Linked DNA regions of Macaca fascicularis. The protein of the gene in region 1 interacts with the protein of each later gene in a biochemical or structural test. Links are inferred from orthologs where the notes say so. Each region holds a gene or a part of one and is shown on either strand. Other genes may lie near its edges. The genes, in order: BCAR1, PTPN1, CRKL, PTPN12 and CRK.

The links.
Region 2: the proteins of BCAR1 (region 1) and PTPN1 form a complex in vitro, tested with the Homo sapiens proteins (3 studies listed by BioGRID and IntAct, with this or other methods). The link is inferred for Macaca fascicularis from reciprocal best matches to the Homo sapiens genes BCAR1 and PTPN1.
Region 3: the proteins of BCAR1 (region 1) and CRKL interact in a test that uses a peptide from one of them, tested with the Homo sapiens proteins (2 studies listed by BioGRID, with this or other methods). The link is inferred for Macaca fascicularis from reciprocal best matches to the Homo sapiens genes BCAR1 and CRKL.
Region 4: the proteins of BCAR1 (region 1) and PTPN12 form a complex in vitro, tested with the Homo sapiens proteins (3 studies listed by BioGRID and IntAct, with this or other methods). The link is inferred for Macaca fascicularis from reciprocal best matches to the Homo sapiens genes BCAR1 and PTPN12.
Region 5: the proteins of BCAR1 (region 1) and CRK form a complex in vitro, tested with the Homo sapiens proteins (2 studies listed by BioGRID, with this or other methods). The link is inferred for Macaca fascicularis from reciprocal best matches to the Homo sapiens genes BCAR1 and CRK.

Annotation. Positions count from the first base shown.
Region 1 is NC_088394.1:71,076,611-71,082,977, reverse strand, and holds the start of BCAR1 (breast cancer anti-estrogen resistance protein 1), read left to right. Parts: upstream 1-2,728; 5' UTR 2,729-2,871; coding exon of another isoform or gene 2,872-2,883; 5' UTR 2,884-3,629; coding exon 3,630-3,707; intron 3,708-6,367. UniProt on the Homo sapiens protein: Docking protein which plays a central coordinating role for tyrosine kinase-based signaling related to cell adhesion. Implicated in induction of cell migration and cell branching. Involved in the BCAR3-mediated inhibition of TGFB signaling.
Region 2 is NC_088384.1:106,660,641-106,666,424, forward strand, and holds part of PTPN1 (tyrosine-protein phosphatase non-receptor type 1), read left to right. Parts: intron 1-72; coding exon 73-163; intron 164-3,659; coding exon 3,660-3,760; intron 3,761-5,784. UniProt on the Homo sapiens protein: Tyrosine-protein phosphatase which acts as a regulator of endoplasmic reticulum unfolded protein response. Mediates dephosphorylation of EIF2AK3/PERK; inactivating the protein kinase activity of EIF2AK3/PERK.
Region 3 is NC_088384.1:31,890,760-31,897,183, forward strand, and holds the start of CRKL (crk-like protein), read left to right. Parts: upstream 1-2,171; 5' UTR 2,172-2,697; coding exon 2,698-3,008; intron 3,009-6,424. UniProt on the Homo sapiens protein: May mediate the transduction of intracellular signals.
Region 4 is NC_088377.1:143,833,034-143,837,743, reverse strand, and holds the end of PTPN12 (tyrosine-protein phosphatase non-receptor type 12), read left to right. Parts: intron 1-1,488; coding exon 1,489-1,596; intron 1,597-2,088; coding exon 2,089-2,150; 3' UTR 2,151-2,943; downstream 2,944-4,710. UniProt on the Homo sapiens protein: Dephosphorylates a range of proteins, and thereby regulates cellular signaling cascades. Dephosphorylates cellular tyrosine kinases, such as ERBB2 and PTK2B/PYK2, and thereby regulates signaling via ERBB2 and PTK2B/PYK2.
Region 5 is NC_088390.1:1,561,727-1,568,302, reverse strand, and holds the start of CRK (adapter molecule crk), read left to right. Parts: upstream 1-2,843; 5' UTR 2,844-2,987; coding exon 2,988-3,228; intron 3,229-6,576. UniProt on the Homo sapiens protein: Involved in cell branching and adhesion mediated by BCAR1-CRK-RAPGEF1 signaling and activation of RAP1.

The DNA.
Region 1 (6,367 bases):
GGGTGGTGCTGGCCCCAGTGCTAAACTCATATTTTTTGGAGAGGAGGGTGCTTAGGTCTCAGCTGCCTGTCCTTTTGCAGTCTGAGTGTGACAAGGGTCTTTGGCTTTGCTGAGCCTGGAGTGCTGCTGTCCCTGTCCCTAGATTCCCTTCCAGCTGCAGGGTGGGCTGAGGTCTAGCAGCTCCATTTCTTCCCTGGCCCTGTCTCCTCTGTTCCCTGAAGTGTATGGGATGGGACAGTGGTTGCTAAACTGGGTCTCAGTCTCTTCATGTGAAAAATGGTCCTAGGCCATGCACAGTGGCTCACGCCTGTAATCCCAGCACTTTGGGAGGCTGAGGCGGGTGAATCACTTGAGGTCAGGAGTTCGAGACCAGCCTGACCAATATGGTGAAACCCCGTCTCAAACCCAAAAAACAAACTGGGGCTAATGGTGAGCCTGTTTTGCAGGATTGCTGTGTGTACAAAATAAGTGCATGGGCATAGGGTCCCTGGCACTGGCTAGGCGTGGAGGCTCTGCCGGGTATGTGGGGCTGCATCCCTGTCCTTGACAGCAGAGGTCCGGGAGGCTGGACTGGGGGTGGGGTAGGTTCTGCCCCCATATACCCCAGCCAGAGCCTGCCCAGTGGGTGCTCCTTCCCCACCCCCCAGCTACATCCCCTTCAACACAGTGGGGCTTAACTCCTGGGGCCTTGTTTCCAAAGCGGAAATGCCATTCTGGGAGGCACAGGCTTTGGGGGGAGGGAATTTAAGTGGAAAACGAGCAAATTTTTGAAATGCCTGTGTCGGAGCCTGTTCCCTTTGCTGCCTCCCGCTCACACCAGCAGCCCCACCCCCAGTGCTGCTCTAATCCAGCTCCTGGGGGAGGAGGGCCCCATCCCTCAGGGTCCCAGCCATCCACCTCCTCTCTGCACCCCTCTCCTTGGCCAACTAGGATGGAGCAGGGGCCGGCTCCCTTGAGGGCCAGGCCTTTTGTGTCCCTGCCCATCCCTGCAGACTCCTGCCTGGAGCCCTGCCAGCAGGGCACTGCCTGCCCATGAGGCCTGGTCTCCCCTTCCCACAGAAGTGGAGGCCCAGGGATCACCTGAGGCTCCTGAGGGTCCCGCTGGTTCAGACCTGCTCTCTAGGAAGCTGGTTTGTGTGCCAGTCAGGCTGAGGAGTGGGTGGCTGGACAGGGTCAGTGCAGGAGGGGCCAGGCACAGCTCTTGGGAACAAGCAGGAGGAGATGCTCCAGGCAGCCTCCCTGAAGGCTGGCTCCTCTTCTGAGGTGAGGTGGGCTGTGTCCAGAGGCATAGGGTGTTGGCGAGCTGTTCTGTTCCTCCTGAGGACTCTGGGTCACGCTGTGTCCCATCCCACTGGTCCTTCCTCACCCGCTGTGCTGTGAGTTCTGGCCAGTGGTTCCCAAGCCAAATATTGAGGAAATGCAGACATCCAGTTTTTTGGGAGGGGTGGGACGCAGGAGTCTGCTTTTAAACAAGCTCCCCAGAGCACCTGAGCAGCCAAACCTGGGCTGCCCTAGCCCCTTTTCAGATGAGAAAGGAGCCCAGAGAGGGGAGAGGGTCTGCCAAGGCGGCACATCTCGCCAGGTGCTGTGTAGGCTGAGCCTTGGGTGTCAGGCAGAGGGGCAGCTGCAGGCCCACCTAGGCTTATGTCTGTCATAGGCCACGCTTGAGAATTCTCTGCTGTGGGAAGCCGGGTCCACCCCACTGCTTCCCTGCCACTAGAGCTGCCTCATGGCATCCCCTTGCTCAGCCAGTGGCCCAGGATTGTTGACTGAGGGTCCTGTCTGGTCTGGACCAGGCTCGTCTTACGTTCTTACTGCAGGTTGTACATCCCTGGCCAGGCCCAGGGGCTCTGGCACCGTGGTTTTGCTGCAGGGGGTGACAGTCACTGACCTGCAACCGAGCAAGGGGCAACTCAGGACAGCCAAGGTTGTCTCCACTCCGTTTCCCCTGGGTGATTCTTCCTTCTGCCTCCCTCATTCCCCCAGTGCCGCCCTCCTACCCCAGGTCGCTGAAGCAGATGAGTTGGAGCAGGACTCAAGAGGGTACTGGGCCCAGGTTTTAGGCTGAGCCTAGGAATGAGTAATGAGAGGAGGCAGATCAACTCAGCTGGAGTCCCCAGATGTCGGCACAATTCAGGGGAAGATAGGTGCTGCCCGTGAAAAGTGCTGGATTGAGAGCTCTCCAGCCTCCTTGCTTGAGGCTTCATTTCCAGGGTCTTTACACGGTGGGACCGTCTACAGTCGGAGCTGTGGTGGTGGTGATTCTTCTGCAGGCTGGCGCACGCCCCCTCCCCTTTCCCACTAGATTCAGATCTGAGTCCCACGGCCCATCGACACGCGATGAATGCCCTGGGGTTGGTTAGCGGGAAAGACAGAAGTCGACTTGACGCCGTGGCTCGGCTCTGGAGGAGGAAGGCAATCCGGGCAGCCTTCCCAGAAGTGGAGGCATTTGCATAGGCCTTCGGTGCGTTCTCGCCCGGGTGGAAGGCGGGGACTTGGATTTGTTGGAGAGCGGTGTCCTGCGCTCTAGGCTGGAAGCCTGGCCTCGGCCGGGTGCCTGGAGCCTCGGGGTGGGAGGTGGGGGGCGGGGCGGGGGGCGGCACCTACTGGGCGGGCTTCTGTCTGCGCGCCCGCGCCCCTGACAGGCGGCTCATTTGCATGGAGAGCGGCGGCGGCCAATGGGCGCGCGCGGCTGGGCATGCTGGGATCGGGCTGGGCCGGCTGGGCCGCGGCGGCTGGCGGATCGCGGCTGGACCGGCTCTGGGTGGCCGAGGTGGCAGCTGCGGCGCTCTCGGAGCCCCGAGGGCACGCGGCCAGAGCAGCTCGGTGTGCGCCACCGCGGGAGCCGGGGCCCCAGGCCCGCTGGACACCATGAACCACCTGGTGAGGGCGGCAGGCGGGGCCGGGCCGCGTCTGGGCTTCGAGGCGGTAGCCCTGCCGGCTCCGGGTCTGGCGCGGGCTGGAAGGGGTTAAGTGAGCGGCATTTCCTGCCGGACCTGCGGGGCCTGGGAACCGCCGACCGGGATCCGCGGCCCCGGGACCTCCTTGCGCCCTGGTCGGGGAGCCGGGAGGCAGGAACCGCGGGGGCTCCGGAGCCTGCGCGCTTCGGGGGCGTTGGCGGGGCCGGGCACGGGGGCCGCCAACCGGCAGGAAGATGCCTGTGTCGGGAAAGTGACTGGCGGGGCCCGCGCTCCCCGGCCGGCGGCCGCCTGCTGTGTCACCTTGGGCCTCTGCGCCCTGCCTCCGAGCCTGTTTCCTCCGCTGCGAGGAGGGACCGTTGAGTCTCGGGCGGGTGGTCCGTCTGGTGTGGCGTGGGACTGCCCACCGCTCCCGGAGAGGGAGGAGCTCCGGGGGACCGAGGCCGGGCGGGCAAGTGCTTGGCGCCAGCGGGGAAGGCTGTGCGGCCGGAGCACCCGGGTCCGGTTAATGATTCACTCCGGCCGCCGGCGCTGGGTTCCGGGAGCGGAGCGGGGGTGGGGGCGGGCGCGCCGCGGGCTTTGCAGCCCTGCACGCCGAGCGCCGGTGGAAGCCGAGTTCTGGCTGGCTACAGGAGTCCTAGCTGCACACGAGAGTCGCGGGAGTGGGCCGGGGCCGGGTTCTACAATGTGAACGTGAAGGCTTTGGAGTCCATGGTTGGGGGACCCACAGAGCTAGAGCAGGGGCGGGGCTGCCTCTCGAGGGTCAGAGAGGCTGATCGCTGGGCCGAGGTGAGGGAGCTGGGAAAGCTGAGATTTGCCTAGGGGTGCGTGGTGAGGGGCTTACGACCCGGAAGATGGGGTTTTGGGTTCCTATCGGGAACAGCAGCTCCTTTTCCCACCACAAGGCTCCCGTTCCCTCTTAAGAGTCCCTGGTGTCCTTTCCCGCACTCCTCCTGGGTCTCGCTGCTTTTTTGGTCACCTCAGAATGACCATGGGTTGATTTCCTTACTGGATTCGGCCAGGTGAGATGTTTCCCATGGCCCTGGGCCGGGGCACGCCCCCTCTTGTGCTCATTCCTTTCCTTCGGTGGAGAGTTGGGTGGTGGGGACTGGCTGGCCTGTGAGAGCAGGTGTCGGGGTGCCTGGAGAATCGGGGCCCAGGTACCGGGGCGGCGGGGCTGTGGGGAAAGGAGCTTTGGGGAGGAGCTGCTGACGCTTCCTGCTGGCACTGCTTGCTTGGGAGCTGGGTGGAGGCAGGGCAGGGCAGTTCCAGGTTCTGCCAGGAAAGTCACCTTGGGCTGGGGCAGGAGGCTTGGAGCTTCTGGCCGTTACTGTTTGTCGGAGCAGGAGGGTGAGCCCTATGGACTGGTACCATGGCCCCAGGTCTGGGCAAAGAATGGAAATAAGGACAGTGCCACTAGGGCCTCCTGTCTGTGCAGGAAGGGCCCTGAGACAGCTCTTCAAGCCCCTTTCCCATTATACGGATGGTGCAGATGGGGACACTGAGGTACAGAGAGACAGTGAGTTGTCCTCAGAACTGGATCCAGAACCTGGTCTCCTGACATGGCCCCCAGTGCAGCACCACATGTGGCTTCTGAATTCCCAGTCTGGGATTGAGGAAGCTCTGGTCCTTGGGGGACCACCATGCTCTTTTGGGATTATCAACTTGGTAGGGACCCTCTGGTTCCAAGGCTGTGCCTTTGTGGCCCTCTGCTGGCATCTACTGTCCCTTTAGTGGGTCCTACCACCCTTTTCTCCTGAGCCTGGACAACTTCTTCCCTTGACCTCAGGAGCCCACAGCCAGCTGAAGCAGCTAGAACCAACCAGCAGGGGAGGTGCGCTCCAGGGGGGCTTCTTGGAGGAGGCAGTATTGGAGTCAGACTTGAAGTGTGGGGCGTGGAGTTGGGTGATAGGGATGTTTCTCCAGCAAAGACACTGGGCAAGCCTCTTCTTCAGCCCCCAAAAAAGGGGCTGCAGGGTGGTCTCCCTGTAAGAGGGCGGGGCACTGCCCTCTGTCAGGCCCTTCCTGGCCCTCTGAGCACAGGAGAGGCCCTGGCTCCATCTGCATCTTGCTGCCCTGACTTCCTCCCACCTCTAGGTGCTAGTCTGGGGCAGAAGTAGGGTGAAGGGGCGGGTCCAGCCTCCTTGATGACTCAGTTGGGGTTGAAGGTGGGAGCTACCCCTATTCTGGGCCTGTTGCTGTCTCTGAAGTCAGGGGTCAGCCTCACACTGAACTCTCTGCCAAAAGTCCGGATCACAAGCATGAGCTCCAGCAAGTCCACTTGAGTGAACCCCGCTGATCCTGCCTGCAGGGGTACAGGCCTGGGGCCTGCCAGCCGTCCCCACTGTCCGTGGGGTGTTTTGGGTTGCAGATTCCATGTCCTGAAGCAGGAGGGCCCTCCCCATGCCACCTCCTCTGCCCAGCCTCTTAGGGACAGTGCCTGGGATGCCCTGGCAGGAGTAGGGGCTGGGGCGTGCTTCCAGACCATAGCTGGCCTGGGCATAAAGGCATCTGCTGTGGCGCTGCAACGAAAGCCAGGCTGTGCTCTGTGCTTGTGTCAGGGCACCCTTGGCAGTGGCCACCCCACAGGTGTCTTTTTATTCCCTCCTGCTGCTGAGTGTCACGCGTGGGGCTGAGGGCCTGCACGCCTTCCCTGCCTCATCCTCTCCGAGGTTTCACGCCCTACTAAGGCCGGCAGGACAGGAGCCATGCTCCCCTGGGGTGGCTCTGGAATGTGGGCCCCACGCATAGGCTATGTGATCTGCCCACGCCCTTGCTGCCTGCCACCTGGGCACCCAGGACTTGAGCCCAGACCCTGGCCACCCAGTTGTCTGTGGGAGTATTAGGGGAAGATGCCACTAAACTGGCAGGTCCTGGAGTTCCACCCAGGATGGGGACATGGAGGAGGGAAGAGGAGGTGCCCCTCAGAGCCTGAGGCCAGGGCCAAGTGGGGTGATCAGGACCCCTCCAGGTGGGTCCCGGGTGCGGATGGCCAGTTGGGCGCACGCTCATTGGGCCTGCATCCGTTGGCCATGGAGGCTCTTTGGGACAAGCAAATAGAATGCTCCAGAAATAAACTTGGCCCAAGTTTGTGACGGTTCTGGGTATGAAAGAAAGCAGTGTTTCCCAAGTGCCTGCTGTGTGTGAGGCTCTGTGCTGGGGCGGGTGCATGTGTGTGTTGGGGGTGTGGACAGGAGGGGTGGGAAAGGCCCGTGACATTTCCTCTCGTGGTTTCCACGAACCCAGGCATCACCCCTGGGTGGAGATAAAGTGGAGCGACCCAGCTCTACTGTGTCTCAGCCTGGGGTTGGCCTCTGCTGCTTCTGGACTCAGTGACCCTGGACTGTCAGGGAGCTTCTGAGCCTTGGTTTTCCTGTCTAGTAAGATGCAGGTATTTCTGTCTTATGGGGTTGTTTTGAGGGTTAAATGAGCTGGTGGCTGTGAGGGAA
Region 2 (5,784 bases), on another chromosome or scaffold:
TGATGTCTGTTTCTTTGCTGAGTCTTCCTCAGTGCCTGGCAGTCAGTTAAATGTCTTTATTCTTTTTTGTAGGATATCCGACACGAAGCCAGTGACTTCCCATGTAGAGTGGCCAAGCTTCCTAAGAACAAAAACCGAAATAGGTACAGAGACGTCAGTCCCTGTAAGTATCCACGTGGCTGGTACCAGTCTTGCTCTTCCTCTGCTGCAGGCCCTTTTAGTCAAGATTCCTTTCGCCTCGGGGTTTGGTATAATAAGAAATATAATAATAAATCAATGTAGCAGAGGTTTATGACTTGATTGTTTCCTATAGTAAAGGCATTAGAGACGTATAGTAATGGCTCATTTTTCCACCATTATAGAAGGGCTGAGGTTTCAGTTTCTGGAAAATTCAGTGAAGTTCAAAGCACTTTTTTTTAGCTTTGACTGTTTTTGTGATGAATCATTGTCCTACCAGCTGAAGCAGAGGATAGCAGGCATAATAAAAGCTTTTCTGGATGACTCAGCAGTAGCGTCATTAGAGCACAAGCACTGTGTTCAGCTGTAGTGAAGCCCCACACAGGCCTTCAGGGGTGGGCACTGTTGTCCCCTGCACTGAATATGCAAGGCATCTCTGCTTGGAGTCCCCACTGCCTCCACCCCTGCCAACCTCGTCATTTTTCTCCCTCTTTCCTGCTGTTAGTTCTTCCTAAGATTGTCAGTGTGCCTGCTGGCCTGTGGCAGCCCTGTCCGCCTTCTGAGTGATTGGCTGTCAATCTGCCGGTAGCTGAAAAGTAAATAACTTAACATGTTAGGATTTGCATAAAGCAAGGAAAACTGGAATGAGTACAGGACGTGAACTGCGCCATCTCCTCTAGGCCACAGAGGCTTTTTTGAACCCCCTCCAGGTCTTTAGACATTGTCAGGCAGTGAGGGGTCATAGCTGCCAATGTCTCCGTGGTAGTATGCTCTGCCAGGGATGTAGAAGATTATCCAGTCATTCCTCCAGTGAGCACTTCCTGCAGGTCCTGTGCCCATGGCTGGGAGTGGTGGCTGTCATTGTTCTCTGCCAGAAGGGTTAGCAGTGCATCCTGATCTGACTTAGGTGGCGCCCAGATTCCTGGAAGGGGTCTAAAAATGGACTTAGACTTGGTGTAGAACGTGTGCCTCTTGGCTTGCCACCATGGTTCCCTGCCTGGTTTTGTGTGTCAGCTCTGCCACTTAGAGCTGAGTGGCTTTGGGCAGGTTGTTCTCTCTCATAGGAGTGTGTGAAGATGAGGCAACATAAACCGCTTAGCCCAGCGCCCAGTACCTCACGCAGACATAAGTGCTCAATAAATGTTGTCGGTGGTGGGGATGGTTGTCACCAACATCTGAAGTGCACTTCTAGGTCATCAGGTGACATGATTGGCGCCAACACATGGTACTCTTGATTTAGCACGTCTCAGCTGAGGCACCTCATTGATATTTGTTTAAAAACAAAAAGAAAAAGCCTTGAGGATTCTGCTGTGAAGTCCTGCCAGAAACCTCCAGACCGCTGATCAGAACGCAACAGAACCATCACCGTTCACCTCTTTCACATGGTGCCAGGATACCCTGGGTCTCTAGCTTTTGCTGTACTTGCTCTAATTAGGGAATAATCTTGTCTTTAATATTCCTTTGCTACATTTTTTAACATTTCTTATCTAAATGGTTTTATGAATCAGTTTTACAGAGAAAAAAAACAGTTTAAAAAATATTCTTCCAGGGGCTGGTCCAAGTACAGTAGTGTTTACAACTATATGATCACAACCAGTTACAGATTTCTTTGTTCCTTCTCCATCCCCACTGCTTTACTTGACTAGCCAAAAAAATAAAAAATAAAAATTCTTCCAGGGAAACAATTCTCCAGCTTTTTCACTCCCAATCCCACTCGTCTTATCTTTCTCCCCTACTCCTATCCTCCAGTAGAAACAGTCATTTGCTGTGAAGGTTATGGGGAAGAATGAGTCAAGGTAGAAGGTCACCTGCTGCCCAGCTCACGGTGCTGCTGGTGATGACAGCAGTCCACAGTTACAGGCACTTGCTGAACGAGGCTCTGTATACACCTCAGCTCATTGACTCTTCCCACAACCCTCTTGTCACCTACCGTTTAGCAAGTTAAAAAAACCAAGGCTCTGAGGTGAGTTGTTTGCCCAGAGTCACCCAGTGCTGTTTGAACCCACTCACATAACCCACCAATACCATTACATAATTTTTTGAGGTCTTTTATCTCTATGATCCACTTAAAAATTATCCAAGTATCTTTATTTGTACTAAGCGTCCATAATGAGAAACAGTATTCCAGATGGTGGCTGGTTCTCAAAGACATCTCTCTTTGGAATCCTCCTTTAGAACAAAAAGCCCCAGACCACTTATCCCCATTCATGTCTCCTTTCCCCTTTGGACGCAGGGAGAAGGTACTATTTATGGGTGGTCACCTGAGTTTATTGTCCCTTGTGCTGTGCCAGAAATAAAGGTCCCCACCTGCTCTTATTAGCTCTACTAACAGGATAAGGAAAGTGGCCCTCAGGGAGCTACTGCTTTTGTGACAAACAAATGATACAAGAAAAAAAGTGGCTTTTTTCTTTTAGTGATCTGGGGCAGAACTTCCAAATGAGAGTTTATTTCTAAAAACCAAAAGGTACATTTAATATGCTTTCAGTGTTTGGGTTTAAATTCTCTTTCAAATGTCTTTGTGATATGCTCTGAATTTTAAAAATTTAGAATCATTGAAGTTCATTATACTTGAACTTAAAAAAAAAAAAAAAAACCTTGTATAAAGGTCAAGGTATGACTTCATGCTGCTGTGTACTTAGGTTATTTAATCTTGAAACTACTGGACAGAGGTGAGGTTGAAGTTCGATCTTAAATCCTACCTACTGTAGCTCATTGTACTAGCAACAGCTGTAGGGACTAGGTGGAATTTATGGTGGATTTTGTTCCCTTTTAAAGATTGAAGCCACCATATTTTTTGCTCTCTAAGAGTTTATGTCGGCCAGGCATGGGTGGCTCACACTTGAAATCCCAGCACTTTGGGAGGCTGAGGTGGGTGGATCACTTGAGGCCAGGAATTCGAGACCAGCCTGACCAACATGGTGAAACCCCATCTCTACTAAAAATACAAAAATTAGGTGGGCATGGTGGCCTGTGCCTGTAATCCCAGCTACTCGGGAGACTGAGGCAGGAGAATCACTTGAACCCGGGAGACGGAGGCTGCCGTGAGCTGAGAACATGCCACTGCACTCCAGCCTGGGTGACAGAGCAAGACTCGGACTCAAAAAAAAAAAAAAAAAAAAGTTACACATCAGAGAACAGATCCTTTGATGCCCTCCTCTGGTCCTGGAAGGTTTGAGGGGAGAGTAATAAGTGTCATAACAAGATATGACCTGAGAACAGATTTCCCAGATAGGACATGATCCATATTGTAATATGGCTTACCGCTGTTGCTTCATAGTGTGAAGTTTCAAACACTTCTGAAAACTCTTTCAGAAAATCCCAGTCGCCCCATACTGATGACTAATCTCAGCTAAAACAGGGCTTCAGCCAGTGTGAATGCCCCAATGCCACCAACTCACCTTTGCTTTTCTGTAGGGTATGCACTTGCATGGACACATTCAGCTTTTCCGGGTTTAACCTCTGAGTTCTGGTTTGCCTTTCAGTTGACCATAGTCGGATTAAACTACATCAAGAAGATAACGACTATATCAACGCTAGTTTGATAAAAATGGAAGAAGCCCAAAGGAGTTACATCCTTACCCAGGTAAGCAGATTGTCTGAATTTTTTTTTTTATGTCAATTTAAGAGTTTGAGAGTGCTGTTATCCACACCTCAAATAAAATCTGCCACATCCTTTAGAAGGTCAGGTTTTCAGCAAACCAAAAAGCAACAAGGAAGGGGGAAAGTCTTCCTTCACAGGTTCAGTTTGGTTGTAAGGAACACTAATCTTTTCTGGGAAGTGTAAGATGGCATTGCTGGAAATGAGAGCTTATAAAAAACAACATTAAAATGCCAGAGTTGCCTGTGGTCTGTTGGCAGAGGCAGCAGTCATGGCTGGAGGAGGGTCTGTACCTGTGTTGCTTCCAGAAGTATTTGTCGTAGAGCATCAAGCACTTGTGATGGCAAATCTAAGAACGTTAGCAGTAGACCAGGAATCTCTGTCCAGAGCCATTCAGAGTAGCTCGCCATGGTTCTCATTCTTTGGCCCAGAAGAAAGGCATCATTAGATCATGTGAACAAGCATGAAAAATGACTTAAAATTTCTGTTGGCTTTTGGCATCTTTATGGAAACAAAATCCTGAAAGTGGTTTAATAATTGAGCCTCTTGTAAAACACTCAGTGGCTTGTGACCAAAAGGGTATCTGGGAAAGAGGATAAAAAGAGTTGCTTTTTAATTAATCTTCTCAAGTCTTAACTTGTTACCTGTAAGTTGGTCTAAAAAGACTGAGTTTCTTGTTTTGTTTTTCATCATAATTTTTGTTTTCTCATTCCATGTCAGCTTTTAGTTTTATATGGCTTTAGGCCATAGGGTGATTTCGAACATTGTAATTTTGCTTAATAATTTGGAAATGAAAATTCTGGGGAAGCCAGAATGCTGTATGAAGAAAGGCTGCTTTGAGCAAGGAGCTAGGTCAGGGTGCGTTCAACTGAGGCCTTTCTTCACTGCCTTTTTGTCTTGTCCCAGTTGCTCCCCATTTATGACCAAAATCAGCCCAGATGCCTCTCGTCATCTGGGATGTAGAGCATCAGCCCAGCTGTGTTCAGTCCTGTGGGGCCATTGAGTAAGTTCTTGGTACATGAATACAGGGCAGGCCTTTACCAGACCCTGAGCTCCTGGTCCTCCCAGCACCATTGGGGTATTTAGGGGAGGCTTATGGGGGAGGGGGTTGATAAGGAGGGAGAGGTCTGGGGATGAGGTTGAGGCAAAAGTGACTTCTTGGGGACTTTGCTTTTTGGAGAAGTCAAATTTCCTGCTTCCTGATTTCAGCCCTTCAACTCTGGTGTGGAGTCAGGAAGCCCTTTAAATACCTGTTATTGGGTGTATCATGTCAAGTGTTGCATTAGCAAATGCCATGTACACTTGTGCTACTGTCCTGCCTACCCCGCATCCTAGCACTTCCTTGGGACATGGGAAGTTCTGTCTGGTTTGTGAGGTGACACTGGGGATGTCGAGAAACTGTTTACACAGTTTCCCTTTGCCCTGGGGATTTACTAAGGGAGTCGAGGCAGCCCGACCCCAAAGTATCACCCCTGGACACTATGACTGAAACATTTTACTAGTGCCCAAACCAAGAACACCCTTCCCATTTTTTTTCATTATATTACATCATTATGTAATAATACAAGTCTGTCTTCTCATTTTTTAAAAGTCGGAAGTATAGAAGAGCAGAGAATAATGTCCAAGGGGTCCTCCTTCACCTCCCCCGTGCAGTGTCAGCTAAGTGTGGTGTGTGTCTTTGCAGATCTTAGGGGATTGTGATCCTTCAGACCATTCTAAACGGGGGTGGTGTTGGGAGTTGGGGAAGACACGAAGGGAGTAGTGGAGAGCTGCAGTGACTGGAGTCTTCACGCCAGGGTGGAGAATGCAAGGCCCAGGTCATCAGCCATGTGCCACGGGATTTCTGACTGCCAGGAGCTGTTTTTCTGTTCACTGGGGAGGGAAGAGTTAAATGTGGCCTGCTTTTCTCTAAGTCCCTTCAGCACAGGGAGTGCTGACTTGTCTTGTTCAGGCAGTAAGTTCAAGATGAGCTCAGGAAAAAAAGTGAGAGGACACTGAGGGCTAGCATG
Region 3 (6,424 bases), on another chromosome or scaffold:
GAGGCGGAGCTTGCAGTGAGCTGAGATCGCGCCACTGCACTTCAGCCTGGGCAACAGAGCGAGACTCCGTCTCAATAAATAAATAAATAAATACAAACCCCAAAAAGCCTAATTCAGTCAAAGCATGGGTGGAAGTCAGATTTGGTTGAGTAGCTGGGCGAGTGGCTCTCGCCTGTAATCCCAACACTTTGGGAAGCCAAGCTGGGAGGATCACTTGAGCCCAGCAGTTCCAGACTAGCCTGGGCAATACAGTGAGACCTCATCTCTACAAAAAATTAAATAATTTTAAGTCACCACTGGGATTACAGGTAGTGGCTCACGCCTGTAATCCCAGCACTTTGGGAGGCTGAGGTGGGTGGATAATGACATCAGGAGTTCAAGACCAGCCTGGTCAACATGGTGAAACCCTGTCTCTACCAAAAATATAAAAATTAGCTGCGCATGGTAGTGCGTGCCTGTAATCCCACCTACCCGGCAGGCTGAGGCAGGAGAATTGCTTGAACCTGGACCCAGGAGGCAGAGGTTGCACTGAGCCGAGATTGCGCCACTACACTCCTCCAGCCTGGGCTACAGAGCGAGAGTCGGTCACAAAACAAAACAAAAAAACAGAAAAAACGCTGGGCAAGGAGCAGGTGATTATTAAATGGTAAATCTGACAGTGAAAAGCAGTTAGAAAACGAAGTGGAGATTTTTCTCTCCTCCCTCACCCACCGAGGGTATGCTCAGGGTTTTAGGCTATAAAGGTACAGGCCCAGGGAACGAGTGAATAATAATAATGGAAGACTCATATGATGCTTATGTGCCAGGTACTATTCTAAGCACTTTGCATATATTAGCTTATTTCATACATAGCTGGGCCGGGCGCCTCACATCTTGGCTGAGGGGGAGGATTGTTTGAGCTCAGGAGTCTGAGACGAGCCTGGGCAACATAGTGAGATTTCGTCTCTATTAAAAATAAAAAAAAATTAACTGGGCATGGCAGCGTGAGCCTGTAGTCCCAGCTACTCGGAAGGCTGAGGTGGGAGGATCCCTTGAGATGCAGAAATCAAGGCTGCAGTGAGCCATGATAGTTCCACTGCACTCCAACCTGGGTGACAGAAGGAGAACCTGTCTCAAAAACAAAATAAAACAAACAGGCCGGGCACGGTGGCTCACGCCTGTAATCCTAGCACTTTGGGAAGCTGAGGCAAGCAGATCACCTGAGGTCAGGAGTTTGAGACCAGCCTGGCCAACATGGTGAAACCCCGTCTCTACTAAAAATACAAAAATTAGCAGGGCATGGCTGCGGATGGCTGTAATCCCAGCTACTCGGGAGGCTGAGGCAGGAGAATCGCCTGAACCCGGCAGGCGGAGGTTGCAGTGAGCCGAGATCGCGCCCCTGCACTCCAACCTGTGGATAGAGCGAGACTCCGTCTCAAAATAAATAAATAAATAAATAAATAAATAAAAATAGAAAACAACAAAAACAAATAGGGATTAATAAATAGGGAGAAGCAGGCATAATCCAGGGCAGGCGAAGCCTCCGGGCCACGCCCGAGAGGCGTTTGCATTTTACCTTCAACAGTTCAAAGCCCTGGATGGCCAGGTTACCCAATTGTGGCCTGCCTTGACTACTTAATTGAGTCAATCTAACCCCCACCTTCTCTCTCCTCTCTCTCCATTTAGCGGGTCACGTAGCCACTAGGGCTTCCTTAGCCTATCAAGCCACCTGGGGACTGAGTCATTCAGTCACCTATCTGGTAGTCACATCTGCCCCTGGGGTCATCCCTTTACTGGGCCACCTCGGCCCATCGTGACCTGTCACTTCTTGAGCTCCCTCAGGCCCCTAGGCTGGCCAGGTCGCCTCAGTGCCACGCCTCCCTGGCCCGCGATTCGGCCTGCACGTTACGCTTTGTTCCCAGAAGCAGGTTTTCGACACGCCGCTCCCTCTCGGCTCCAGCTGTTTTCCTGCCAGCGCTGGGAGACCCGGCAGCCGCAGCGCCCCCAGCGGCGCGCAGCGGCCCAGGAAGAGAGTGCCTACCGCCGGCGCCTCTTCAGCCTCCTCCCGGAACGCGGGAGCGGGCGCGACCAGCGCCCACCCAGATCGTCGTGACGGTGCTCCTCATTGGCAGCATTGTGTGACGCCACGGAAGGGCCCCGGCGGCCGCCGGGAGCCGGGGCTCCGCGCGTGCGCAGACGGAGCGCGCTGAGCGCAGGGGGAGGTGGCTGCCGCTTCTCCCGCGTCCGCCATTTTGTTGCTGTAGCTATTGGGAACGAGCTGGGCAAAACCACCCCGGAGGCGCGACGCTCCTTCGAGTTCGGTGCCTCGTGTGACGGCGGGGGTCGGTGAAGACCCGTGGAGCTGCGACGCCGGCGCGTTCCAGGCCGGGAGTCACTGGAGGCACCCCTGGGACGCCGAGCAGCCCGAGAACCCCGGGGTGGCCTCAGCTGCGGCTCGGCTTTGCGTGCCCTGACCCCCCGGCTCTGCCCTGCATTCCCGGGCGGCTCTCCGTGAGGCGGCCCCGGAGCAGGCGGGCGACGTTGGAGGATGCTGCGGGCCTGGAGCCGAGAGGAAAGTGCTGGCCCAGCCCTCTGAGCGCTCCTCGAGGTGTGCGAGAGGCCCTTCCTCGGCCCCAAAGCCGTCTGCCGGGCTAAGGCGTGCAGAGCAGGCGAGGACAGCCGCCGCCCCTACCGCCGCAGAGTCCCCGGCCCGACACCATGTCCTCTGCCAGGTTCGACTCCTCGGACCGCTCCGCCTGGTACATGGGGCCGGTGTCTCGCCAGGAGGCGCAGACCCGGCTCCAGGGCCAGCGCCACGGTATGTTCCTCGTCCGCGATTCTTCCACCTGCCCTGGGGACTATGTGCTGTCGGTGTCCGAGAACTCGCGGGTCTCCCACTACATCATCAACTCGCTGCCCAACCGCCGTTTTAAGATCGGGGACCAGGAGTTTGACCATTTGCCGGCCCTGTTGGAGTTTTACAAGATCCACTACCTGGACACCACCACTCTCATCGAACCCGCGCCCAGGTACGCGAGAGCCCGCCCCGACCGCGGAGGAAGGTCGATAACCGGGTCGGTCGAAGGGTGTTTGTGTAGGGAGGTGGGGCGCGCTTGAACCCATATTCCCCCCATTCTGAACCAAATTATTTTCCAGAAGGCCTTCCTAATGGAAAGCTAGTGTCAGGATCTAGGTCACTGGATAAGAGGATGCGTTTTTGTTTTTTGTGTTTTCCTCATGAGGCTGTTTCTCAATGTCAGGAGGATGCGTTTTAAATGTTTAACGGGGGTGGCATAAAATGCACGCTTTTTGCCTTTCGTGACTTTCTCTGGGTGTAATACTGATGCAGGGATTTGCTGGTTTTCCTAAAAACCTTTTTTTTGAGACGGAGTCGCCAGGCTGAAGTGCAGTGGTGCGATCCCGGCTCAATGCCACCTCCGAGGGCCTCCCAGGTTCAAGCTATTCTCCTGCCTCAGCCTCCCGAGTAGCTGGGACTACAGGCTCACGCCACCACGCCCAGCTAATTTTTGTATTTTTAGTAGAGACGGTGTTTCACCATTTTGGCCGGGATGGTCCCGATCTCTTGACCTCATGATCCCCCTGCCTTGGTCTCCCAAAATGCTGGGATTACAGGCATGAGCCACCGCACCCGGCCAAAAACCGTTTTTAGCCATAGACTTCTTTGAGAATCTGGAGATAGCCGAGCACTCACCACCCAAGCCCCACCCCTCCTCGCCAAAGGCACGTACACACAAGTTTGCACACTATCCCAGGTTCTTGTACTCCCTCCAAATCTCTGAACTCCAGGTTAACTCCAGGACTGCAGCCTTTGTAACAGTCGACAAAATGAAACCAAAATATCAAAACTATATATTTGATACTGTGGTGCCAAGTTTGAAGCAGGCCAGACACCACCACTTTTATAGTACGTTAATCACAAAGATAAGGTGCATTGGCTTCAGCGAGGATATTTTTGGAAAATGTATTTAATATTTTCTCCCCAAGGACCATTAGTAGGCCAGAGATTAGTCTGATTAATTTCCAAGGTGGAATTAGGCTAAAATGTTATTAAGGAAAATTTTTGAATTACACTGAGTTGTATCCTAGTTCAATTTCAGACGTGCTTTTTGTGTTAAGTCTAATGACTTAGTATCTCTTATTTTTAAATTAATGCAAAGTGACCAAGTAGTCTCTTTTCCAAGTGAAATACATTATTTTAATTGATTAGTTGCTTTAATTTGCCTTAAGCATTTTAACAAAGATTTGTTTTTATTGTTGTGTTTGCCCTGTAACACTTTGATTTTATCAGAGGTTTCTTTTATTTAAATTATCCCAAATTTGAGTTGAAAAGTTGCCTAGAATTTTTAAAGTAACAAACTGGCCAGTTCATTTCTTAAACATCTGTTTTAAAAGGATTGGGTGTTGATGCAGTTTTTCCAGGGTTAAATGTTTATGACTTTATGGATTTGTCGACCGGGTATTACTCTAAACTTTAAACATTAAAAGCTATTATAATTAAGGACACGAACTGTTTGCATAGTGAGATAGAGATAGAAAAAGAAGCCATGATAGTATAATGACTTTAAGATTAACTACTGAACTAAATGGACTTTAAAAGTGGGCAGAAAGTGATTATAAATCAAATACTGTATAACAAAGACCAGGACACCAAGAATCTGATTGGTGAAACATGCGGTTCCTGGCAGATGCTGGTAGTTGCAGTCAACTTTGAGCACAATATAATTCCAATTTAAGGGGTTGAGAATCTTAGAACCCACTGTAGTGAGATTTGTAGTATGATTGAATAAATTATTCATCTCGTTTGTGAGAGTGAATTATATAATTAATACCAGGCATTCATTAAGCCATGCATGTACTTACGTTGAGGTGATGAATACTAATAATACAGCTGTTTCAAAAAGCGAGTTAATGGCGGGGTGTGGTAGCTCACGCCAGTAATCCCAGCATTTTGGGAAGCCGAGCCAGGCAAATCACGAGGTCAGGAGTTCGAGACCAGCCTGACCAACATGGTGAAACCCCGTCTCTACTACAAATACAAAATATTTGCTGGGCGTAGTGGCGGGCATCTGTTATCCCAGCTCCTGGGGAGGCTGAGGTAGGAGAATTGCTTGAACACGGGAGGCGGAGGTTGCAGTGAGCCGACATCGCGCCACTGCACAGCCCGGCGACAGAGTGAGGCTCTGTCTCAAAAAAAAAAAAAAAAAAAAGAAAAAAGAAAGAAAAAAAGTGAGTTAATGGCTTGAATCTCTTTCTAGAGGGAGGAAAAGAAGTATGCTGCTTCTGTCTATCCACAGAATCGCCTCCAAATTTTCCATACATGCATGTGTCTTCTTAGAGAACAAGCATGTAATTCTGTTTTTGCCTCCTCTCGTCCTTCCTTTACTGCAGCTCTACTAGGCTGCTCACTTATTCCCTGGTAGCCATCCTTCCTTACTCATACCTTTGTACCTTTGCACCTTTGCTCCAGCTGTTGGCTCTTCATTGACTGCCTTAACTACACCTCGCTCTCCATCTGTTGAAATCCTACCTGTTGTTCCAGTCCCTTCACAGATGATAGGGCCTTTCTCTGACCCTCCCCCACACGTTCAGCTTTGTTTCTCCTTCTCTGTGCCCTCTGCCTCAGGCCTGTTGCTTTAATTTAGTTTTTCATTTTCCTAGGTATCTCTGAAGGAGATCACCATGCTGGTTGAATTAGATACTGACTGAATTTACTTTGTTATACTGAATCTTCGAATTGCCACTCCCAAGCCTGGTTTTCATGGCTTAGCCCTAACATGTTATTAGCCTTTTATAGAAAGCTAGTGACTACTAGAGCCTTGCCAAACGGAAAACTCAGTGTAATGCTTCTTCACATCCCAAACAGGATAAATTTAGTGGCTTAACTTTTCAGGCATCAAAACTGAGCTTTTAAAGCCAGAATTTAATACCTCTTGGCTAATATTTTGGTTTATCTTGCATAGCTAAAATTTGTAACAATAATGTCCTACTCGAAATTTAAGGACTGGTGGCTTGCATTGTTATAGTCTTATCCTTTTTATTGGAACGTTTCATAATTTTTAATTTTATATTTTTGTTCAAATGTTTATAAGAGAATTATAACCCAGCGTAGGTACTGGGAAGGATGTGTGACAGACATACTTTCTCCCTGTGGAACTCCTACTGTAGTGGAGAAGACAGACTGAAAAGTAGAAAAATAAAGTACTAGTAAGATTAATAAATGCTATGAAGGAAATAAACCAAGGCTGAAGGACTATAACAGGAGGGACCTACCCGGGGTGGTGTGGTAGGAGAAAGCATGAAGCTAAGACCTAAGAGTAAAGAAGAACCCTGCCTAGGCAAGGCTTGGCTTGAGAGGAGGGGAAGAGCTTACCAGGTTTAGGGAAAAGCTTATGGAGATGTCCTGAGGTGAGAAAGTCCATTGTGT
Region 4 (4,710 bases), on another chromosome or scaffold:
GAGGCAGGCAGTCACAAGATCAGGAGTTCAAGACCAGCCTAGCCAACATGACAAAACCGCAACTCTACTAAAAATACAAAAATGTGGCGAGCACCTGTAATCCCAGCTGCTTGGGAGGCTGAGGCAGGAAAATCACTTGAACCGGGAGGTGGAGGTTGCACTGAGCTGAGATTGTGCCATTGCACTCTAGCCTGGGTGACAAGAGCAAGACTCCATCTCAAAAAAAAAAAAAAAAAAAGTCTGTGGGCTCCTTTCCAGACTGTAAGCATCTTGAGGATGGGGATTGTCTGTTATTTTACTTGTATTCCAAGTTTCCAGAAAGGTTCCTCATGGAGGTATGGGGTATGTTCAAGACTGTGAAAGAATGAATGAATTATAGTAGTTAATTTCTTTTGTTACTAATGTTGAACATTGGTAATTAAAGAGTGAACTACAATCTAAACAACATAAAACTTTAAAAGTAGTTAGATCTGGCGTCGTGGCTCACACCTATAATCCCAGCACTTTGGGAGGCCAAGGCGGGCGATGACCTGAGGTCAGGAGTTTGAAACCAGCCTTGAGCAACATGGTTAAACCCCATCTCTACTTAAAATAAAAAAGTAGCTGGGCATCATGGCTGCCGCCTGTAATCCCAGTTACTAGGGAGATTGAGGCAGGAGAATCCCTTGAACCCAGGAGGCGGAGGTTGCAGTGAGCTGAGATTGCGCCATTGTACTCCAACCTGGGCAACAAGAGGGAAACTCTGTCTAAAAAAAAAGTTGCGTTGTTATTTCAGGTGGAAATATTTCATTAATTAACCTTGACCTTGTTGATTTCTTTTTTTTTTTTTTTTTTTTTTGAGATGGAGTCTCGCTCTGTCGCCTCGGCTGGAATGCAATGGCACGATCTTGGGTCACTGCAAGCTCTGCCTCCTGGGTTCACGCCATTCTTCTGCCTTGGCCTCCCGAATAGCTGGGACTACAGTCGCTCGCCACCATGCCCAGCTAACTTTTTTGTATTTTTTTAGTAGGGATGGGGTTTCACCGTGTTAGTCAGGATGGTCTCAATCTCCTGACCTCGTGATCCACCCGCCTCAACCTCCCAAAGTGCTGGGATTACAGGTGTGAGCCACCGCTCCTGGACTGACCTTGTTGATTTCCATACAAAGGCATTTCAGTTGCAATTATTCCCTTAGAACATAGGCATATAGTATAGCTACCTTAAGGGAATGTAATATGTCAAGACCTAGATTTAGGAAATAAAAATAATGAGAATCCTCACGTTGCAGAAGTACTCACTGCAGATTTCTGTGTGACCACAATAATACCTGACATGATTTTCTGTGCTCACTACGTTTGTATTTATACTGATCTTGACCTATAAAATTATGGTGCCCAGGAGAGAAAATTTTCTCTTTTCATGCTTGCCAACATTTAAAAAATTAAAGAGTTGTATATATACGATGCTACAAAGCATGGTGATTAACAAAGGTTTTGTGTTGCTATTTAGATCATCCAGCGGGAGGTATTCACTACGAGATGTGTACAGAATGTCCACCTACTTTCAGTGACAAGAGAGAACAAACATCAGAAAGTCCAACAGAAGCCACAGATATTGGTAATTTCTTTAATAAATAATTTTTAGTAAGTAGTTAACACTGGCAAGAATGAGAAAAGCTCATTTGCCATTGTGAAGTGACACTTGCCAAGAATAAAGTATATGATTTTCCAAAGTTGCTTGAACTAGTCATGAAATAAATGAAGCACTTAATTCTATTTCACATTGAGATTAAAAACTAAAATAGAAAACTGCAGTATATTAAAAAAATCTTTTGTGTTGGACAGACTAAATTATCTTGGATGTTTTTCTTACATTGTGATAAAATTGGTTTATTTTCAGCATAAGATTTTTAAAAGAAGCAATCATTTTCAGTTACCCCAGATAAATTTACAATCGTTTTGCATTTACAGAGTTTTGTTTGGCTTAAATTCTAAATTCCCTTGTGGAAATTTATTTGTTCCAGAAAATCAGAATGTCTGTGGACATGGTTTTTAGTAGTTTAAAAGTATTTCTGAACACTGACTAGTTACTGTGGTATTTTCACTGTAGGTTTTGGTAATCGATGTGGAAAACCCAAAGGACCCAGAGATCCACCTTCAGAATGGACATGATTCAGGGAGCTAAAAGACACTTTTAAGTTATACTGGAAAATTCAGGTGCCACTGAAAGCCAGATTTATAGTATTCCATCTTTAATATGTGGGACTAACAGCAGTGTAGATTGTTACTTTAATATTTTTTGCTGGGACCATCTACCTGCCTTATACTATACTTAGGAAAAAGTATTACATATGGTTTATTTTGAAACTTCAAGTATTATTGCCTTAACGTCTCTTAACCCTGTTACACGCTGCTTGTAGACATGTTAATATAGTAATACTTTTATGATATATTGAGTTTAAGGACTACTCTTTTTCTGTTTTATCATGTATGCATTATTTTGTATATGTACAGGGCAAGTAGGTATATAATTTGATAAAGTTGCAATCGAAATATTATTAACAGAAGATGTAAGAAATTTCTGCATGGTCTAAATCTTTGTGTACTTTATTTGTAAATTATTTGCCCTGGAGTTTTAGAAAATAGTTTCTGAATTTTAAACTTGCTGGATTCATGCAGCCAGCTTTGCAGGTTATCAGAGATCAAAGATTGTAATAATAATACATTTTGTAAATTGTAAGCAAAGTTATTTTTATATTATATACAGTCTAATTGTTCATCCTAATTGTTCTTGTTTTCATCTAGTCAGAGATTCAGTAAGTGCCTTGGAACAATATTGAATTCTCTTAGCTTGTGTGTGTTTCTTTAATATTTGAACTCAACTGGGATTAGAAGACTATCAAAATACATGTATGTTTCAGGATATTTGACCTGCCATTAAAAAAACAAACAATTTTACAGCGCCTACTTGTTGCCTTGGCTTTTCATTTTTCATTCCTAGGAAATTGGACTTAACTATCAGCCTTCTTGCTGGCTCAGTCTTGGTAGGAAATGAATGTGAATGGGGTTTAATCTCTTTTTTTTTTCTTTTTTTAGACAGTATCACTCTGTCACCCAGGCTGGAGTACAGTGGTGCCATCTCGGCTCACTGCAACCTCCACTTCCCAGGTTCAAGTGATTCTCCTGCCTCAGCCTCCCAAGTAGCTGGGATTACAGGCACCCGCCACCACGCCCAGCTAATTTTTATATTTTCAGTAGAGATGGTTTCACTGTGTTGGCCAGGCTGGTCTCAAACTCCTGAACTCAGGTGATCCGCCCACCTTGGCCTCCCAAAGTGCTGGGATTACAGGCATGAGTCACCATGCCAGGCCTAATCTCTTAATTAGGGAATAGCGAGTACCTTCTGCCAAAAACATGGCTGTGCCAATTCTAAATACTTATTGCCCCTAGGCATTCCTCATCCTTATCATTACTAGCCTACCAAAGTCCTAGTAGAAAGCCCAACAGAGGGGGCCAGATGGGGTGGCTCACGCCTGTTATTCCAGCTCTTTGGGAGGCCAAGGAGGGCAGATCACTTGAGGTCAGGAGTTCAAGACCAGCTTGGCCAACATGGTGAAACCCCTTCTCTACTAAAATTACAAAAAAATTAGCTGGGTGTGGTGGCACATATCTGGAATCCCAGCTACTAAAGAGGCTGAGGCAGGAGAATTGCTTGAACCTAGGAGATGGAGGTTGCAGTGAGCCAAGATTGCACCACGGCACTCTGGTCTGGGCAACAGAGCAAGACTACATCTCAAAAAAAAAAAAGAAAAGAAAAAGAAAACCAAACCAAGGGGATGTTGGGAACGAAAACTGGTTTCTTATCCCAAGACTGGAGCACAGATTCCATTCCTCAGTACTAAGTCTGAATTTTGACAACTGTAGATTGGAGTTGTTGGATGTCTGTATTTTCCCTCTGCATATGAAAGAATGAAGAAATTATGAAACTAAAGTACATGGAAAACCTTATATGAGTAGAAGGGGGATTATTGTGGAGGAGAAAGTAATACTACAATTTCTTGTTAAATTTGTTTTAAAGCTAACTCATCTTCATGTTGATCCCTTAGATTTCTTTTTTTTTTTGAGACGGAACTTTGCTCTTGTTGCCCACGCTGGAGTACGATGGTGTGATCTTGGCTCACTACAACCTCTGCCTCCTGGGTTCAAGCAATTCTCCTGCCTCAGCCTCCTTAGTAGCCGGGCTTCCAGGTGCCCACCACCAAGCCCAGCTAATTATTTTTGTATTTTTAGTAGAGATGGTGTTTTGCTATGTTGGCCAGGCTGATTTTGAACTCCTGACCTCAGGTGTACCCGCCTCAGCCTCCAAAAGTGCTGGGATTACAGGTGTGAGCCACCACGCCTGGCCAATCCGTTAGAATTTGAAAATATTCTGTATGCTTTGGTAATAAGGAAGTGGTAATACAGTGGATGCTTGACATTCTCAAGACACAGGCACTCCTGTAATAGATCTTTTCCTAATACAATGTAAACTGAAATAAAAGCATAACTGAAAAAAATTTTAGCCCCTTCACACACTTGATGAGTTATTGTAGAGTACTAAAATCATAAGGATTTTTGTGGTTGGGATGGAGTTTCTTGGAATACCTTCACTGAAGTATACATGTATTCAGAAGTAAGCAAAAATCATATTAATTGCCAGGCGCGGTGGCTCATGCCTGTAATCCCAGCACTT
Region 5 (6,576 bases), on another chromosome or scaffold:
TGGCAGACGGTCATCTCTGAATAAATGTTAGTGGTCCTGAAACGCTTATGGAGTACCTCGTAGACTAGCTGCTTGGACTTTAAGGACATACACAGAACTACAAATGAAAAATTACAGTAAAATGGGTAAGAGCTGTCATGGGAATAATTTGGACGTATTGCTGTTGATGGAGAGGGAGTGATAGGGTGGTTAAGAAAGGGGAGACGGCCGGGCGCGGTGGCTCAAGCCTGTAATCCCAGCACTTTGGGAGGCCGAGATGGGCGGATCACGAGGTCAGGAGATCGAGACCATCCTGGCTAACACGGTGAAACCCCGTCTCTACTAAAAATACAAAAAACTAGCCGGGCGAGGTGGCGGGCGCCTGTAGTCCCAGCTACTCGGGAGGCTGAGGCCGGAGAATGGCGTGAACCCAGGAGGTGGAGCTTGCAGTGAGCTGAGATCTGGCCACTGCACTCTAGCCTGGGCTACAGAGCTAGACTCCGTCTCAAAAAAAAAAAAAAAAAAAAAAAGAAAGGGGAGACATTCGGGCCGGGCGCAGTGGCTCACGCCTGTAATCCCAGCAATTTGGGAGGCCGAGGAGGGCGGATCACGACGTCAGCAGATGGAGACCATCCTAGCCAACACGGTGAAACCCCATCTCTACTAAAAAAAAAAAAATACAAAAAACATTAGCCGGGCATGGTGGCGGGCGCCTGTAGTCCCACCTATTGGGGAGGCTGAGGCAGGAGAATGGCGTGAACCCAGGAGGTGGAGCTTGCAGTGAGCCAAGATGGCACCACTGCACTCCAGCCTGGGTGACAGAGCGAGACTCCATCTCAAAAAACAAAAACATAAAGAAAGGGAAGACATTTGAATTTGAGACTCCAAAGTGGGTAGAAGAGCATTCCAGGCCAGGCACAGTGGCTCTCGCCTGTAATCCCAGCACTCTGGGAGGCCGATGTGGGCGGATCACGAGGTCGGGAGATGGAGACCATCCTGGCTAACACGGTGAAACCTCGTCTCGACCAAAAATACGAACATTATTAGCTGGGCATGGTGGCAGGCGCCTGTAGTCCCAGCTACTTGGGAGGCTAAGGCAGGGAGAATCACTTGAACCCGGGAGGTGGCGGTTGCAGTGAGCTGTGATCGCACCACTGCACTCCAGCCTGGGCGTCAGAGCAAGAATCCATCTGAAAAAAAAAAGAGAGACTATGGCTCAATTTTATGCTCTGAGCTAACCTGGGAGTTTGAACACCTGAAGACTGTTAAACGTTTTACACAAGGTAGCAACACATTCAGATTTGTATACATATATACTTTTTTGAGACAGGATCTCCCTCTGTCGCCCAGGCTGGAGTGTAATGGTGGGATCTCAGCTCACTGCAACCTCTGTCTCCCGGGTTCAAGCGATTCTCCTGCCTCATCTTCCTGAGTAGCTGGGATTACAGGCAGCCACTATCACGCCCAGCTAATTTTTGTATTAGTAGAGACGCGGTTTCACCATATTGGTCAGCCTGGTCTAGAACTCCTGACCTCAGGTGATCCGCCTGCCTCAGCCTCCCAAAGTGTTGGGATTACAGGCGTGAGCCACCGTGCCCAGCCAGATCTGTATTTTAGAAAACTCAGTGGGAGCTGTTTGCAGTGCAATTAGAGGCAACCAGACGAAAGGGCACCAGCGAGCAAGCCACTCATAGGAACACAGTCCAGAGTGACCATGACGGCAGTGAAAGTAGGAGATGCCCCTGGCTACAATTTAGTGTTTAGAAGTATCTGGGCAGGTGACCCCAAAGCCTCAAAAGAGAGGAGAACTCTGTACTTCACGTGGCTTGGCACACTCTGCTCCCTTTGCTTTGAATGTCCTTCCCCTTTTGTCATTCAGCAGTCAACACATGCTACCTCCTCTGGGAAGCCCTCTTGGATTACTCCGCAGACTGGATGGAGGGGGGCTCTGCTCTGTGTTCATGTCCGTTTCCCATGATAGCGCTTGTCAGCATTTGTCATCCTTTTGTCATGCAGTTTCCTGGTTCCTCTCACTGGTGTGTGAGTTTGAGGAGTGCAGGGCCCAGCATCCATCACCTTTGCACCCGCAGTGCAGGTGGAGTGTCCATAACAATGTCCTGAATGAATCAATGAAAATGAGAACGTCAGCCGGCCTGTGGAGAAGCTAGAGGAACGAGAAGAAACAGACCGACATGGCCGGGAGCGATGTTTCTCGCCTGTAATCCCAGCACTTTGGGAGACCGAAGCGGGTGGATCACCCGAGGTCAGGAGTTCGAGACCAGCCTGGCCAACATGGTGAAACCCCCGTCTCTACTAAAAATACAAAAATTAGCCAGGCGTGGTGGCGCTCGCCTGTAATCCCAGCTACTTGGGAGGCGGAGGCAGGAGAATCGCTTGAACGCGGGAGGCGGAGGTTGCGGTGAGCCGAGATCGCGGCACTGCACTCCAGTCTGGGCGACAGAGACACCGTCTGAAAAAACAAAATAAGAAAAAGAAAAGAGAAACAGACTGATATCCCAGGAAGCCTGGCCGAGAACTGAGGCCCCAGGGCCACACGCGTCTTTTCTCCTGCAATCCTGTCTGGGAGCCGCCGCCTAGAAGTCCCGGGCAGTCCGGGAACGCGAGCCTGAAGCAGCACCGCGCGGTCGGCGGCGCAGGCGCACGTCTCTGCGGGAGGCCGCGAGGCCCCGCCCCCGGGCCCTAGACCCCGCCTCCCATCCCCCTCATCCCCGGGCCGGGCAGGGCGGCACCGCCCATGAGGCCGCATGCGCAGTGCGCGCGCGAGGGCGCCTTGCCCTTCTCCCAATGGCGGGCCGCGGGCCCCTTCCCGGCAGCCTCCCTCGGGCAGGGAGCGCGTCATTTCCGGTGGGGAAGGCCCGCGGCTGCCGCCGCCATTTCGGGCGCTGCTGTGAAGCTGAAACCGGAGCCGGTCCGCTGGGCGGCGGGCGCCGGGGGCCGGAGGGGCGCGCGCGGCGGCGGCACCCCAGCGTTTAGGCGCGGAGGCAGCCATGGCGGGCAACTTCGACTCGGAGGAGCGGAGTAGCTGGTACTGGGGGCGGTTGAGTCGGCAGGAGGCGGTGGCGCTGCTGCAGGGCCAGCGGCACGGGGTGTTCCTGGTGCGGGACTCGAGCACCAGCCCCGGGGACTATGTGCTCAGCGTCTCAGAGAACTCGCGCGTCTCCCACTACATCATCAACAGCAGCGGCCCGCGCCCGCCAGTGCCGCCGTCGCCCGCCCAACCTCCGCCGGGTGAGGGACTGACGGGACGGGGGGCCCTGGGCGGGGTGAGGGCCGCGGAGCTCCCAGCCCGGCTGGCTGCTCCTTGAGAGCGGACCCTCGGGGTCGTGGGCAGAGGGCTGGGTGACCGTGGCAGGGGCCCGCCGGCTGCTGGGGCTCATTCCCACCCGGGGAACAGGAGTGTGGGGGAGGAGGAGCCGCGGACCGAGGCCCCGGGGTGTGCCTGGGAAGGGCAGCCCCGGGGAAGGGGAACTGCTTCGGCCCCAGGGTGGGGCTGGCTCCCGGGCCAGGCGCAAGGGTAGGGCAGGGCAAGGCAACGTGGGGACAAAGAGCTGAGGGAGATGTTGGCACTGCGGGGGCATCACTTGGCAGCGGCGCCCAGAATGAATCCGATAATCCTACAAGTGGCTTTTGGGCTGGAAGCGTTTCCTGCCGTGTTGGAGAGCCGGGTTTGGCCGTGCTCCCCTGGTGGCCTTTGGTAGGAAGTCACCACAAACTGGCCGGGAGGGATGGAGACACCCTCAGGAAACCGGTTAGTTTTTTCCTTTCTTGGGCATTTTTCCAAAATCCTTGTACCGTCCTCTTCCCCCGTGGAGGACGAAGGTGGTGAATTAAGTGATAGAAGAAAGCCTTCAGTGACCAGCCCAACCCAGTTTAAGGCGATGCCTGGCTGCGTGCAGGACATCTAAGCGTCCAGAAGACTGTCCGCCGGTAGAGGGTTCTGGTTTTCAAAGTGTTTAGTGGAGGAAAGACATTTTATTCCAGAGAATAAACCAGAAATGAGGCAGTGGAAACAGACCCTTCCCTGGATGTGACTGGAGCTTCATTTTCCTTGGACTTAAACATTGTCAGTGTGTACTTCAGGGCGTGACCTTGCTCAGTAAGATGGGGCTGCGGGCTGAGTCTTCCTGGATGCTGGGAACAGACTCTACGCCAAGAACATAAATTACCTGCGCTGGGTTTTTCTTGCCAGGGATCCCTGAGATTGACTGTCTTTCCGATGCCGTTGGAGTTGATTTGGGAGTGTTTCAAGGGAATAGATAGATGCCCTTAGTACTGGAGATTTGTGAGGTACGAAGTAATTCTGGGGTTCTCATTGTATGTGTACCTGTTTAACAGCATCAGGAGTCCTCGTGCCTTCACACTGTTGCCAAGTCGAAGCTGTTTCTTCTTGGCCGCTGAGACTGGGTTCAGACTAGTCTCCTATGAATCAGGAAGCTCCTGAGCCATCCTCTCTAGACTTTCTCTTGTAGGATCGTTCTAATTTAGATTTACTTGTTCCGGCCAGAAATGGAGAATTGAATAGCCAGTCTCTTTGTTATTAACACATACCAATTTTTATTTTACTTTTTCCTGAGACGGAGTCTCGCTCTGTCGCCCATGCTGGAGCGCAGTAGCACGATCTCGGCTCATGGCCACCTCCACCTCCCCGGGGCTCCCGGGTTCAAGATTCTCCTGCCTCAGTCTCCCGAGTAGCTGGGATTACAGGCACCCACCACCACAACCAGCTAATGTTGTATTTCTAGTAGAGACAAGATTTCACCAGATTGGCCAGGCTGGTCTCAAACTCCTGACCTCAGGTGATCCACCCTCCCAAAATGCTGGGATTACAGGTATGAGCCACCGTGCCTGGCCAACACATAACCAATTTTTTTCTTATTTTATTTATTTATTTATTATTTATTTATTTTGAGACAGAGTCTCTCTCTGTCACCCAGGCTGGAGTGCAGTGGCGCCATCTTGGCTCACTGCAACCTCCGCCTTTTGGGTTCAAGTGATTCTCCTGCCTCAGCCTCCTAAGTAGCTGGGATTACCAGTGCCTGTCACCACGCCCATCTAATTTTTGTATTTTTAGTAGAGATGGGGTTTTACCAGGTTGACCAGGTGGGTCTTGAACTCCTGACCTCAGGTAATCCACTCGCCTTTGCCCCCTCAAAGTGCTGGGATTACGGGTGTGAGCCACCGCACCCAGCTTTGTTTGTTTGAGGCGGAGTTTCACTTTTGTTGCCCAGGCTGGAGTTCAGTGGTGTGATCTCAGCTCACTGCAATCTCTACGTCGTGGGTTCAAAGGATTCTCTTGCTTCAGCCTCCCTAGTAGCTGGGATTACAGGCACACGCCACCATGCCTGGCTAGTTTTTGTATTTTTAGTAGAGATGGGGTTTCACCATGTTGACCAGGCTGGTCTCGAACTCCTGACCTCAGGTGATCCGCCCGCCTCAGCCTCCCAAAGTGCTGGGATTACAGGTGTGAGCCACCACACCCAGCCCAACACATAACTATTTTTAGAAAATGAGTATGGGGTCTATAAGTTCACAAATTATTGTAGATCTTTCTCATTCTGGCCAGTTTAATGGTGTTATGAGATGGGAATATTGATGTACCTGTGTTGGCCCTGAACCAGATATATGCTACTTTGATGCCACCTGCGTGGTATCTGGGGTTTTGCATTATATGTAGTAACATGATGGCAAACTTACTGAAACTCACTTTTCAGCCTTTTGTTTGTGTTTGTTGGTTGCCAGAGTTGAAAATGGCAGCCGGCAGGTTTGTTAGCTTGATATTTTTTCACATCTTAGCATAACGATTTTTATATCTCAAGCCTTACTTGGATAATGGAGCACCACCTTTTCAAAACAGATAAGAACTCAGTTCCTTGGCCCAGGAAAGAAGGTGAAGATTGCCAAAGTTTGTGGATGGGGTGTGGAATATTCACGAGTGTTGTGATAATTCTGCCATATTGTACCCCATTTTCTACGATTCAGTTGCTGTCTTTTCTCTCTTCTGAGACAGGGCCTTTGTCTCTCAAGCTGGAGTGCAGTGGCATGAACACAGCTCACTGCAGCCTTGACCTCCCGGGCTCAAGCCATCCTCCCACTTTAGCCTCCTGAGCAGCTGGGACTACAGGCATATCCACCATGCCTGGTTAACTGTTTAACTTTTTTTTGTGGAGATGAGGGGTTTCACTGTGTTGTCCAGGCTAGTCTCAAATTCTTGGTCTCAAGAGATCCTCCCGCTTCAGACTCCCAAAGTGCTGGAATTGCAGGTGTGAGCCACTGTGCCTGGCTCAGTTGCTGTCTTGTTTGTTTGTTTGTTTGTTTTTTGAGGCAGAGTTTTTTTTTTTTTTTTTTTTTTTTTTTGAGACAGAGTCTGGCTCTGCCGCCCAGGCTGGAGTGCAGTGGCCGGATCTCAGCTCACTGCAAGCTCCGCCTCCCGGGTTCACGCCATTCTCCAGCCTCAGCCTCCCAAGTAGCTGGGACTACAGGCGCCCGCCGCCTCGCCCGGCTAGTTTTTTGTATTTCTTAATAGAGACGGGGTTTCACCGTGTTAGCCAGGATGGTCTCGATCTCCTGACCTCGTGA